Linked DNA regions of Mus musculus: all the other regions are reported to be linked to region 1. The links are microRNA targets in miRTarBase. Many come from high-throughput screens and were not tested one by one. Region 1 holds a microRNA gene; each other region holds the end of a gene's coding sequence.
What was found. Region 1 holds the annotated microRNA mmu-miR-3106-5p (UGGCUCAUUUAGAAGCAGCCA, at 3,182-3,202, shown strand). A microRNA usually pairs through its seed, bases 2 to 8, with sites in the 3' UTR of a target mRNA and lowers its output. Matches are read on the target gene's strand: a 7mer-m8 pairs with bases 2 to 8, a 7mer-A1 pairs with bases 2 to 7 and ends in A, and an 8mer does both.

Region 1 (4,578 bases):
ATTAAAATGGATATCAATTAAGTATGGTGATGTGAACTTATGGCATGCTTTATACATTAAGGGTCAGGATTGTATAGATTAAAATTAAAGCAATCCTGCCCATGTTTTCAGGTTATATCCTACCTGGAATAACAGACACAATGAAATAAAAGAATAAAAAGCAAGGACAACACTGATGTTTTTTCATTTGTGGCAGGATTCATAAGAAATTTCAGAGTATACTTAGTGCTTGAACCATAGCCAGGGGCAGTGTAACAAGCTTCAAACAGAGTATAATCAGCACAAACTGATTTGGACAATAATAAACCCCTCTCTGTTCCTATAAGACAGACTGCGACAGACAAACAGCTTCTGGGGATTTCTCAGATGACCACATCACTGGAAGTTAAAGGAGGAGACTGTGTTCTTGGCTCCAGTTTATAGGAAGGCCAATAGGAAGGAGGGGAGGATGGGATGGGGGTGTGGCCAAGGAGGACGCACTCGGGAAGCATGAGATTGCGTACTCCAAGAACCTGCAGGAAAACCTGCAATGGCTGACCTCACAGGACAGGAGAGGTGATTTTGATGAATAGATCCGATGCAATGACTTTGTTCCACTGGTGGTAGTTTGCGTGGTGAACTTTATCTCTACTTCATGTTGAGGATCTGCACCGAGCCCATTAGTGCACTATGGAGCTTCAGCTCCTGCACAGGTGGCTGTCCATCCATGACATAAGCAGCAGAGAGAGGGCAGCCTGGCACTCAGGAGTTACAGTCAGACTGACAGCTCGCTGGCATTCAGCCATTCTTCTTTTTTCTTGGATACTTTCTTTATTTACATTTCAAATGTCATCCCATTTCTCAGTTTCCCTCCCTCCCAGAAACACCCTATCACATCCTCTCTCCCCCTGCTTCTATGAGAGGGTTCCTCCAAAAGAACTCCCAGGGACTAAGCCATCAGCCATTCCTTGAAGAGTGAAATGTAAGGGTTGGTTTGGTGCTGCTAAATATCCAAATGCTAAATACTGCCCCCATGAGGAGATGCTCATGTACACCTCATGTACAGGATGTTATATAAACCTTGCCCCCCAAGTTATCACCGACTAGGCCTACAGCCTAGGTTCTGCAGAAGAGAGAGGGACAGGATTCAGGCAGGGACCACGAAGAGAGTGAGAAAGAAGGAAGTCACTGTGCTTGGATTGTGAGTGTATGGCTTACAGTCCTTTTATAGACTGACAAGGAAAACATGCCTTAAAGGGGTGTATCAAAAACATCCTAACCTTTGCTAATAGCTGTACCAGTAACTGCTCTCAGAGGCATATGGGGAGCAGGCATGGGCCAGCTAGGGTGGGGAAACATTTTTTTTAAAGATTTATTTATTTATTTATTTTATGTATTTGAGTACACTGTCCCTGTCTTCTGACATACCAGAAGAGGGCATCAGATCCCATTACAGCCACCCTGTGGTTGCTGGGAATTGAATTCAGGACCTCTGCAAGAGCATCCAGTGCTCTTAACCACTGAGCCATCTCTCCAGACCCAGAGGGTGGGAAAATTTAACATGAGGAGTGCTGGTTACATTGCTCAGTCCAAAGTTGAACAGGTTCCTGGGGCAATGGAAACCTCACAGTCATCTTATGACTCTCAACCAAAGAAGTCTTTAGCATGATGTTGAATGACGAAAAAGAACGCCAGTTCACTGAAGCAAGTAAAGAGAGCTGCAGTCTAACCTCCCGAAGTGCGTCTTACCCAAGCACCGAGACATTTAAGAGCTGCATGGAAGGCCAAGTAGCAGGCTATTTCTCCAGGCTAGTACAGGGAGGCAAATGGGGTTGCACCTCCCCTGCCATAGCTACCTGCCCTCCCCTTTCCCAGGATTAGGTTAAAATTCCTAAGTGAATACGAAGTTTATTTCTTTAGAAGTCCCCCAGTCTCACACTATCTCATGAAACCTGGAGATTGCCAGGCTTTGAACATTTTCCTTGATTGAACCAACCCTAGTCCTAACAATCTGCCTTAGAGTCCTCTGCTCGGATTATGTTGGAGGTAACTGTAATCTGCCTCACATGACACGGACCATGTCTTCTGTCATGGCCAGGCAAGTCCTTGCTAAGAGAGGGTCACATAAAGGACCATGTTCCTAAATAAGTTGCCAGGGTCAGGACCAGCCACCTCCACAAGCTCCTAAGCCAATAGTAGATGAAAAGAATATATTGCCCAGAGTGTATAAAAAGTATTTTTAGAGGTGCCAATTTGGATATTATCATGAAAATTAAATCAATATGAAGGTATGCAGTACTGAGTTTTAGACAATGGGAATTAAAGTTGAATGCTAAAAAAACTATACTTCATATATATAAAATTGAATGTTTCCCTAATTGTCTCTCCAGCATTTGCATTTAAATGATTTCATGTTGAGGCTATTCCTAACTTTAAAAATAATTATGTAATTCAATTTCACAAAAAAATGCTGAAGACTCTTAGAAACATTGTTGAAAGTATATGTTTGAAGGGACTTTTAAATCTTAAAGGCACATCAGAATTTGTGCGTGCTGCATTTTGGCATCGGGGCTGCGTTGATGGGGTCGCCTTTTGTCATTACCTTCCCCTGCAGGTTGGCTCCATTTGTGCTGACATTCCAGGCTTGCAATTCTATGTTCAATCTAGTTTTACTTCCTGTCTCACTTTGTGAAATGAATATTTATTAGAGAGTTATATAAAACTATTTTTATCTTATAAATTTTCGCTCATCTTTGTCCGGGAAGACTTCGCGGTTACACAGACTCTCCTGCCAGCCAAGCAGATGCTTAGAGCCATCTAGGCATTTTAATAAATTGTGGAATTTCAGAGTGGAAAACAAGAATACTACTTTGACATATTAGTCCTAGAAAAACAAATTTGAAAAAAAGAAAAAGAAAAGAAAAGCAGACCCCTGAAGGGGGAAGTTACATTTTAAATTACTAAATCACCTGTGTGTAAACCATCAGATTGTCCTGTATTATATTCTGAACACTGGTATTTCTGCTATGAAATGTGGAATGTTGTTCGCTGAGGTCACAGCTGTCCTTCTCCTGGGAATTCCTGTGTAAAAGTGTTAGCATGAGCATTGTCTGTATGTGCATTTGGGAAACGGAAGGAAGAGCCACGCCCAGGCTCACCTGTGTGGCTTCTCATCAGTACCTTGTCCCCAGGGAAGCACAGGTGGCTCATTTAGAAGCAGCCATACACTCAGAGAGTGGCTGCCTATACATGGGCTTTCCTGTGCTCCTCTCCTGTTGCCACGGACCCTCAAGGAAGGAGCCATGCAACTCGGCATGTGACCTCCTTTGCCGGTAGCCACCAACACAAGAATGCCCTCTGTCTCCTTAGGCACTCGCTGATGGATCTGTGACACCTCTTGTGGGGCTGAGCCCTGGAAGCCATGGCTGGGCCTAGGCAATGAAATAAATGATGTTTTACCCAGTGAAGTTAATATGTGTTCAGTGTGTGTCAAGTGAGCACTCGATGTTCTACTAACATGATGTTCTCCCAAATGATAACTGTTACATGTTGGTTTTCAACCAGTACCAACCACAAGTTCTTAATGAACAAGTATTTATATTTTTTATCTCTTCAGCATCTAATGTTCTTCTTCAATATAAATCAGAAATAGGCAATATACTTTATATGTATTTGAAGCAATATAGTCTCAGTAACCAATGAGTAAAACAAAGATGATATACCTGAATCCTCAGGTAGATAATGAGAGCAATCATGTCTGTGCATTCTGTCTATGTCTGTTTCTCTTCCTCCCTGTCTCTTTAGTTTTAAAACCTGTTACTATAGTCTACCCAACAATAATATAGAAATAACAAATATGTTGGCTTAGAGAGATAACTCCATCTATAAATTGCTCACCATGCAAGCATGAGGACTCGAGTTCAGTTCCCAGAACCCACATTCAAAGCATCCACGGCAATATGTGATTGGGAAGTGTGAGGATGCAAAGACAGGTGGGGGCTCAGGCTCAGTGGGAAGGCAGTCTGGCCCAAATGGTAGGCTATAGGGTGAATGGGAGAACGGGTCTCAAAGAGTAATGTGAAGAGTGATTAAGGAAGACTCCTTACATCTGTGTCTGGCTCCTACATGCACATGAGTCTGTACACACATGAACACGTGTGCTCACAAAACACATGAGAGAAGTTACTATGCTCACAAATACATTTCATCAATAAAAAGAAATTTGAGTGATCCCAGTGAACTATTAGATGTGTTTAGTATCAAAAGTATCATCATCAGTCAGAAATCTTAATTAAAATCGATTTTGAAGCATAATATTGAAATTTCACTTTTATATCAGAGTATTGGGTTTTTCTTTCAAATTTATCATCAAAATTAAATGTGAAAAAAAAAGCTACAATATATGGACATATTAAGCAGAAACAGTAGAAAGCCATTAGCACCATGCCACATAACTAAGTGGCTTCTATGTCATCCTGAAACTTTCAAGGACTCTGGGAATGTCAACATGGATGCTAAAAATATTCTATGCCCCTTCTTGCCACATATGTCCTTCCCTTTATTTAAAAAGATAGAAATGAACAGCTTGCACACATCATT
Region 2 (4,578 bases), not on the chromosome of region 1:
GCTACCTAAAGGAGCCATGCACGGAAGGCCTAACCCTTCTCCTTTCCAGCCACCTGCCAAAGTGACCAAGCCCAGTTCTAAAACCGGAGCCATAGGTCTAGGGACACAGTCTCAGCCACCCACTAGAACGCCGAGGTCAGGAGCAGTCTCAGCACAAAGACTTCAGTCTACATTGAATTTAAACAGTCCAGCTTCTGTGTGCTCAGGGTCCTCTGCAAAAGCTACTCAGGGATCGAAAGGTAAGAATACAGTTTCAGTTGCCAAAAAGCAACCTCAGAGTAAGGGTGTCTGCCGGAATCCGGGACCTGGCTCTTCAAAGTCTCCTGGCCGTACCCCGCTGTCTATTGTGACTGTTCCCCAATCTGCTACCAAGACAGAAACTGTCTCGAAGTCAGCCAAGACTGCCATGAAGGGCCAGTACTCAGCTAAAGGGCCTCCCAAAAGCAGCAAGCCACCAACTTCCTTCAGGGACCCACCCTCATCTGGTAAGGGGGCAGACAGCGGAGATAAAATGCCCACTGCCAGGAAGAAGGAAGAAGATGACCATTATTTTGTTATGACCGGAAATAAGAAGCTTAGGAAATAAATACACTTGTATCGTTTCAGCAAATCAGGGTGATCAATGAATGGCGAGCCACAAGGATCACCAAAGATCTTCCTATTTGTGTCTGTCCGGAGAGCTGCAGACATGAAGTCAAGATGGGATGAAGCTGGGTCAGGGAAAGGACCCATGCATTTTGTGTATCAATGGACAAATGTGTGAGTTTTGACCTGTATCATCTTGCTAATGATGTCTGCTGTTTGAGGGAAGTGTAAAAGTCCAAGAACACTACTAGAATTTTAACTATTGGTGGTATATTTTTGAACACAGGTTAACTGTGGAGGTTATCTGCTAATAGCAACTCCGATACTCTTAAACACTAGTTACTGTGCTCAGCCACAAAGCAATGGTTTGCTTGGCGCTAGTGTGTGCCTGTAATCCCAGCTCCGAAGGCTGAGGCAGGGGTACACAGTAGAAGCCAGCAAGGTTTTGAAATGTGCTGTAATAGGCACCTAATTTATTGGTCAGGAATCCTGGTCCAGCAATCCTAAGTACCAATGGCTCCTGCTGTTTACTTTGATATTATTCTGGATTAAATGGAATTCTTACTATTTAAATCTCTATAATATTTCCGTATCAGAAGGGACTATTTGGTTTTTTAATTAAACTTGGCTTTTTAATACTGTATCATTTTATAACCAATATTTTTGATAAAAAGAAAAAAAAACTCAACCAAGTAAGTTAACTTATTGAATCATAAGCTGAAATTTAGTAAGAATTAAGTTTTTTAAAAAAAAAAAATATATATATATATAATCTAGACACTTTGTATCTTATATTTTTAGATGAAGTCTGTGCAGTGTGACAGGGAAACATTTAATAGCTTTTAGCATACTAAGATATTTTAAATAGACATTTCCTATATGTACATATAAATTTTTTCATTAAAATAATGTGTTTTGATACCAGAATTAGGTTTTAATGATCTTAAAATTAAAAGGGATGGGGGGTGGCTCAATGGATAAGTCATGTCTAGTACAGGCATGGGGATTGGAGTTTGTGTCCCCATACCTACATACAAATCTGGGTGGGCTTGATGGTCTGCCTGTAGTCCCAGCACTCAGGAGGAAGAGACAGGATTTCCTGGGACAAGCTGGCTGGCGAGAGGAGCCGATGGATGAGAGGCAGCTCTTTTGAGAGACCACCCCTACCTTAGTAAAAAAGGAAGATTCCCAAAGTCAATGTCTGTTCTCTCTATGTACAGACTCATACATATATCCTGTTCACATATGCACACACACACACACACACACACACACACGCACACACACCTATGAATGCATATATACACACAGACTCACATACATGCATGCACACCACATATATTGACGCGTACAAAAGATTAAGATGGTATTAAGAGAACCTTTGTGTGATGCTATGCACACATCTCATCAGGTGACTTGTATTTCTTTTGCTAGCACACTGTCGATTTTAATTAGTCTCCAGATTATGTTCATCTTCATTAGTAAGGCCATGTTGTGCTCAGTTTTCCAGTGCCCAGCAGACAGTGTACCTTCTGTTCTGTAGGCAGATTCTCGTCAGGAATATCCAATGATTTCATGACAGCATAAACACCTTCCACCCACAGGGATACTTGTAAATGATTTATGTACAGGCTTGTCACTATTTAAAGTTTATTAATGTACTTTGGGAACTTTTAAGGGTGTTAAGTAACTATGGTATTACCAGTTATCCTAAGTTGTAGGAAGGAAAAGCAGGTCTAAGAGGTACACGCTTGTAATTCCATTACTTGGAAAGTGGAGGCAGGAGGATCAGAAATTCAAGGTCATGTTCAGCTATGCACTAGAGACACGCCTCAAAAAAAATTGTCACTTTGACTCCTCTTTTATAACTCAGATGCCCTCCCTTTAAAATCTGCTTTCCATCCTCCTCCTCTTCCTTTCTTTTCTTTGTGAGACTGAGGATCTATGGTGTCTTACATTGATAGATAAGCATTGCGACTGAGCTTCCTCCTCGGCCCCTTCAAATACGGTTTCTAACACAAACAAAATAGTTGACCCAGACCTGCCATCATTGAATGAGTGAGCATCGTGGCTGGCTGCTGGCATTCTCTAGACCTACATACAGCAAGAGAACCTTGGGTAAAGACCACTGGATCTTTACCCAAGCAGTATGCATAAAATCAAAGATCTACTCAGGATCCCTTACAACAGAAAACCACCAAAAACTTGCCAAACGTTCCGGTTCTGAGCATCACTAATGGCAATATGTACATCTTTGAAAGCACCTCTTAGCACTCAAAAGAGATGCCAGGGGCATTTCTGTAATCAGGAATATCTAACACACCTTTCAGAGAGGAAGGATTGTAGCTTTAGAGAGGCTATTCCCTCATAGAGAGGGCCGCCGAAACTATTTCTAGATCAGTAACTTCTGAGAATTAAAAGAAAAATATAAATTACACTATAGGCAGACTAAACCTATGACTCAGTACATTGTACAGTTTTATAAACATTATCTTTTGTGCTGGGTAATCAAGAATAAAGATATTCTCAGACACCTGGCACAAATTCCCGAATTAACTTTAGGATTATTTATTTAAGATAAAGATTGGGTTTTTTGTTTTTGTCTGCTGTTCAGTAGCATTTCTCCAACTGTAGTCATATAGGGTGAATTTCTTTGTGTGTGTACCTTGTCTTTCCTAAGCATAGGTTGTATGTGAATAAGTAATTCAGTTCCATGGGAACTGAGAGAACACTCAGCAACTCAGAACACTTGGTATTCTTGCAGAGAACCTGAGTTCTATTTCCAGCACTCCCGGGGTGGCTCACAAGCATCCAGAACTCTTGTTTCAGGGTATCTGATGCTCGCTTCTGGCCTCCAGAACACAGGCACCAGGCATTCATATTGCACACATACAGGCAAAACATTCATACATGCAATCAATCAATTAGTAAATATCTTTCCCTCCCAAATTAAAAAAGTTAAATTCTTTCTGATGTATTTTGGTATTTTCTAAAGGAGCTGATAAATCTTTGCCACAATTTAAAAAACAAGTATAATGCAGTTGTACTCACTTCTTTTTACTACTAGTGTGAAATTACATAAGGTCTTTTTGTGTTTAATATTTAATAAACCAAATATTAAGCATAAAATGCTGATGTACCTGGAAGACACATGTGTGGTTTCTTAAAAATAGAATGTTTTTGTTTTGGAATGCTTTGCTAATGTGTAATTATATAAAGCTGAACAGGGACGGGAAGGGATTTTTTTTTTTTTTTTTTTTTTAAGATTTATTTATTATTTTATGTAAGTACACTGTAGCTGTCTTCAGACACACCAGAAGAGGGAGTCAGATCTTGTTACGGATGGTTGTGAGCCACCATGTGGTTGCTGGGATTTGAACTCTGGACCTTCGGAAGAGCAGTCGGGTGCTCTTACCCACTGAGCCATCTCACCAGCCCATGAAGGGATTCTTTTTACACTCTGCTTCTGGGGAGGTGTTTGAAGAGAGCACCTTCCCAATGTATGGACTTTTAGTGCCCTTGGCCTGTCATCTCCACAAAGTCTCATCACGCAGATGCAGCTTGCCTGGCATTCTCTAGGTAGCCCAGGCTGGCCTTGAGCTCATAGCAATCCTCCTGCCTCAGTCTCCTGAGTACTGGGTTTGCAGGTTTCGGGTACCACATCAGCTTGATTTCATAATGGATAAAGGAATAGTTTGGAGAAAATAATTTCTTCTGCAGTCTTTTTTATTTCTGTCTAATTTAAAAATCTGTTACTTCCTTAAAAGGAGCTAATAAAGGTTTTGATGTATTCTTACATCCAAGTTTCATGCCATCTCTGTGTCAGTTTGGATTTGTATATATTCTGTTGTTTTTTAATTGTTGTTGTTGTTTCATGTCAGCAGTATTTGTATCCAACTTAACTTATATTTTCTCAAGTATTAAAATGTCAGCATAAACCCACTCTGTTTGCTTTTTTAATGTATTTTAACTGTGTTTTGATTATTTGACCCA
Region 3 (4,578 bases), not on the chromosome of region 1:
AACTATCTGGTTTATCTGAATTGTATAATTTTAGTGAAAGTGTTTTAAAATAAAAGTGATTTGAGTGTGAATGGAGAACTGAATTTAAATATTATTTGATTCAGCTCTCACTGGCCATAGGCAAGTGCTCCCTAGCCGTTTATAGTTAGCAGCTTCCATATTGAACAACACGGCTCTACGTCCTTAGTCTTTCAACTCTGAGGACTGTAACAACCTCATGTCATTTCTGCCTTTACTTTCTAAGGTTAATTCCCATCTCTTGTCAAGCAGTTAATATATCTGTGTTGCTGCCACAAGCCCAAGATGGCCCTCCCAGATTCAAGTTTGACCATCTCTGGTCTGCCATGAAGTTTCCAGGAAAAAGTAGAGGTGTAAATAAGACCACCTTTCCCTAATAGTTCTGAGACTACGGTTAGCCGATGAGGCACGATTTGCTGTATTCTGCTTCCCAGTAGCCATTTCTCTGCTTAGGAAAAGACCTTTCCTTTCTACCTCCTCCCCCAACCCACATGCATCCTTTCTGCAGGTTCACCCAGAACCTGTCAGCATTCCGTCGAGAGGTCAACGACTCAATGAAGAATTCCACTTATGGAGTGAATAGCAATGACATGATGAGCTGACAACTCTCGGACTCTACCTTGCAGAGCAGCGTCCCTTTGGTCTGGTCCAGAGGGTGAACAGTTGCAAGGGAGAGAGCCTGGCTGATCCCGGCTCCTTCCTCCAGGGGTATGGGGGAAATGGCAAAAGTCAACCAGCTATTTCCCCAGAAAGTACGGGGAAGTACGGGGTGTGCGTGCACTCACTGAGGGACAGGGCACTGCTGGTTCCTGGGGGACTGGGGTGGGAAGGGGTGGTGGGAGGAGACAGACGCACAGGCATCTGAGCCTCCGGCCGCTCCTGGGGTCACCGTGCAGGGAGAGCCCGGCGCCCTGCCGCAGCCTGCCTTGTATAAACATGTACATTTTTTCATAACGTTTTCAACAAGGTTTATATTGACTCAAGTTTAAAAACAAAAGTGTGACTGAAAACTTTTTACAGAGTCTAGTGCACCAATGCTGACGTGAGGGGTGATGTATGGCGAGTGAAGAAAATGTGCATTGTGGTGGCCTGAAGCTTTATTGGACAAGGATGTGTGAAAGTGCAGAGATATATTTAGTGACACAGTGTAGAGAGGCAAAAAAGGAAAAAACTCCAAATGTATATTTTTTCTTACTGCCCTTTCCCTCCCCACCCCCACTGATGCGTTCCTGATGCTGTATTAACCTTGTTATTAGGAACTCTGAGCCATGCGGGAGCACCACCCTCCCCATCCATGGATGCTGCCCTGGGCCCCCCAGCCTCCTGCAGTGACAGATAACTCCAGCTAAAGTCTCTGGTGTTCTTATCTCCATCCTTTCTCCCATTTTACTTAACCCTCATCCTCAGAAAGATGCCTCTTGCTATTAAAAGTCGGATTTATGTTTTAGGATTCTTGGTCTCTATAGGGAGACGACAGAGAATTGAGCCATTTGCTCTCTTGTTGAGCAATTTGCATGAGTCCACCAGAGGCCTAATATGTGTGGCCATAACTTTTGTCTTCCCCAGCCTTTGAGGCAGTGTGTGTGGATGTGTGTGGATATTTATGTGTGTACCCTGCACTCATGAATGTATGAACTGGAGGAAGTTACTACAGGGGAGGGCTCTCAATAACAAGGTCTACCTAGCATGAAGTATTTAACATTCTCCCTTGAAAAATATACATTTTTATAAAATAAAAACCATAATAAATGTTTTGAATATTAAAAAAGAAAAGTGAACCTACAGAGGAACATTGGATGGAGAAAACTCTTTGCCTTGTACTTTCCCACAACTGCTGCTAGTTATATACATCTCTAGTACAGCTCTTACCCATGGGACATTACCAATTAGGTTTTATTTTTATTTTCCTCAATCCTCACAAACAAGCTTATTAATTTTCCTTCTCCTCTGGCGACTGTGTGGTGAATCTTTTCTTGCGTGATCAGGTTGCGGATAGACTTGTAAGGGTGTTTGCTGCATACAGTGTAAGCATTGTGACCGCCAATAAACTTCGATGGTTTCTACTGACCTGGTTTCAGCAGTCACGTGTAGTGTGTTCAGGGATGTGTCTCACTGTCAACACATGGAGATATTTAGACAAACATGCTTTTTTTTTTTTTAAGCCAGTAGGTGCAGAAGTCCCTGTGTCTTGTAAAACTAACGCAGACTGTGTCTGCCTCAGCTCTTCTGACTGGTTCAGCTCACATACTTATAGCATAATGTTCTCCAGAGTTGTCAAAATGAAGACAGTCTACCTCTTTCCAGGTAATAAAGTGGCGACCTACATATAAGCAGTAGCTGAAGAAAGGCCCATTGGGTTAGTCCTTACACCTGCCTCTCTGATACAGGCTGGGCTTCATTTATTAGGCCTTGACAAGGTCAGTGGCAAATGTTTTCCCCTGGAATAGAATGTATAGGCCAAATGAAGCAAATAATGAAGACTAGTTTCTGTGATTTATGGCCCTGTACTGCACAGTGCTTTGATTACGAGGGAGCCCATGGCTAAGACCATTGAAAAGCAGGAACAATATAGGGCAGTTGTGGGTATCTTACCTGCAAGGGCCCAAGAGCCAATCCTGAATTCCTTCTTAGGAGTCCTAGAAAAACCATCCTGGCACATGCTCAGGAGAACCTGGGATACTAATTCTGAAGTAAATAAGACAAAGGGACTAGGAAGCTGTCTCACAAACACTAGAAAAACCTTGAAGTAACAGCTGGTCAACAAAACCCCAGTGTCCTTCCCTCTCTCCTACGGAAGAGACACTAGGGATGATAGTACCTTTGGTCAGTCACGGCACAGTGCTTAAGCTTGAGATCTTCCACGGCCCCAAGCTGTGTAAGACTCCGCTGACAAAGGTTTGCCCTGACATAGTAGTGCATGCCTTTAGCCCCAGCAATTGGGAAGCAAAGATTGGCAAATTGAAGTTTGAGGTCAGGTAGGACTACAAAGAAACCATGGATGGGGAGAGAGAGAAGGGAAGGTTTTTAGGATTTGGGAAATGAAAACAGGATTAGTTCAATATATACCTTGGCTACACAACAAAGCCATTCTGGACTACATGGGACCCCACCCCAAACACACATTACTAATTTCATAAAATTTAACCTAATACGAAATTCAGTTATTTTTCTTTTTACCTTTTTATTTTGTTATTTTTTTTATAGTCCAGTCATTATCTCCCTCCCTTTCTGCCCTCCCACAATTCCTCATCCCATTCCTCCCCCCACCCCTCTGAAAGGATGTCCCCACACACCCCTATACTCCACCAGGCCTTCCCATTCCCTGGGGCCTCAAGTATTAGGTGCATCTTCTCTCATTGAGACCAGACCAGGCAGTCCTCTCCTGTATATGTGTCAGGGGACTTGGACCAGCTAGTGTATGCTGCCTGGTTAGTGGCTCAATGTCAGATCTCACTGGGGAGGGGTTCCAGGTTTGTTGAGACTACTGGCCCTCCCATGGGCTCTTCAGACCATTGGTCAGGTGTAAGTATCTGCTTCTGTCTCAGTCAGCTGCTGGTAGAGCATCTCAGAGGGCAGCTGTGCTATATATAGACTCCTGTTATGCATGTCCTTTTGGGTCTGAGATGCCTCACTCTTGGTGATATTTTCTAGTTCCATCCATTTGCCTGCAAAACTCATGATGTCTTCGTCCTTGATAGCTGAATAGCATTCCATTGTGTAAATGAACCACATTATCTGTATTCATTCTTCCGTTGTGGGACATCTAGGTTGTTCCCAGCTTCTGGCTATCACAAATAAGGCCACCATGGTCGAGTACATGCCCAAGAGTAGTATAGCTGGGTCTTCAGGTAGATCTATTTCCAATTTTCTGAGGAACCTCCAGATTGACTTCCAGAGTGGTTGTACCATTTTGCAATCCCACCAGCAATGGAGGAGTGCTCCTCTTTCTCTACATTCTTGCCAACATGTGATGTCACCTTAGTTTTTGACCTTAGCTAATCTGGTCGGTATAAGGTGGTATCTCAGGGTCATTTTGATTTGTATTTCCCTGATCAGTAAGGACTCTGAACATTCAAGTGCTTCTCAGTCATTTGAGATTCCTCTGTTATGAATTCTCTGTTTAGTTGTATACCCCATTTTTTTCTATTGGGTTGTTTGGTTTTTTTTTGGAGGTTAGCTTCTTGAGTTCTTTATATATTTTGGATATTAGCGCTCTATCAGATGTGGGGTTAGGGATGAATTTTTTTCCAATCTGTAGGTTGCCGGAAATCCTATACCTTCCTCTTTTCTCAGATGTCATGGAAAGGTGTATGTTGTGGTTATCTGTGCTGTTCCTGGACACAAGTGTTTCATCTACACAGTGATATCTGGAATAAGCTACACTGAACCCTAAATTCCCTTACTGATGTTTATTAAATTTTATTGTGTACTATGTATTTATTAGCTTAACCCAAATAAAGCTAATATTTTCCTACTACAGTGCAAACCAAAGATGGGATTTTACTCAGAGTTGAAATGTTAGATTTTTATATTCTGTTTTTGGTTTTATTTTGCTGGTTT

Region 2: miRTarBase lists Gas2l3 as a target of mmu-miR-3106-5p. Seed matches in the 3' UTR shown: 7mer-A1 at 3,935-3,941 and 7mer-A1 at 4,005-4,011.
Region 3: the mRNA of Xpo7 is a reported target of mmu-miR-3106-5p. Seed matches in the 3' UTR shown: 7mer-A1 at 1,281-1,287 and 7mer-A1 at 1,501-1,507.

Annotation. Positions count from the first base shown.
Region 1 is chr8:16,167,429-16,172,006 of GRCm38, reverse strand. Mir3106 (microRNA 3106) reads left to right here and starts at 3,169; the gene lies at 3,169-3,250. The region is part of intron 23 of Csmd1 (CUB and Sushi multiple domains 1); the gene reads left to right.
Region 2 is chr10:89,409,211-89,413,788 of GRCm38, reverse strand. It overlaps Gas2l3 (growth arrest-specific 2 like 3), which reads left to right. Exons shown (of 11, transcript NM_001033331.2): 11 at 1-4,578. The coding sequence ends at 586. Among named protein-coding and RNA genes, the nearest start is that of Gas2l3, 32 kb to the left of the region's middle.
Region 3 is chr14:70,662,043-70,666,620 of GRCm38, reverse strand. Xpo7 (exportin 7) reads left to right here. Exons shown (of 28, transcript NM_001359888.1): 28 at 527-4,495. The coding sequence ends at 620. Among named protein-coding and RNA genes, the nearest start is that of Npm2, 11 kb to the right of the region's middle.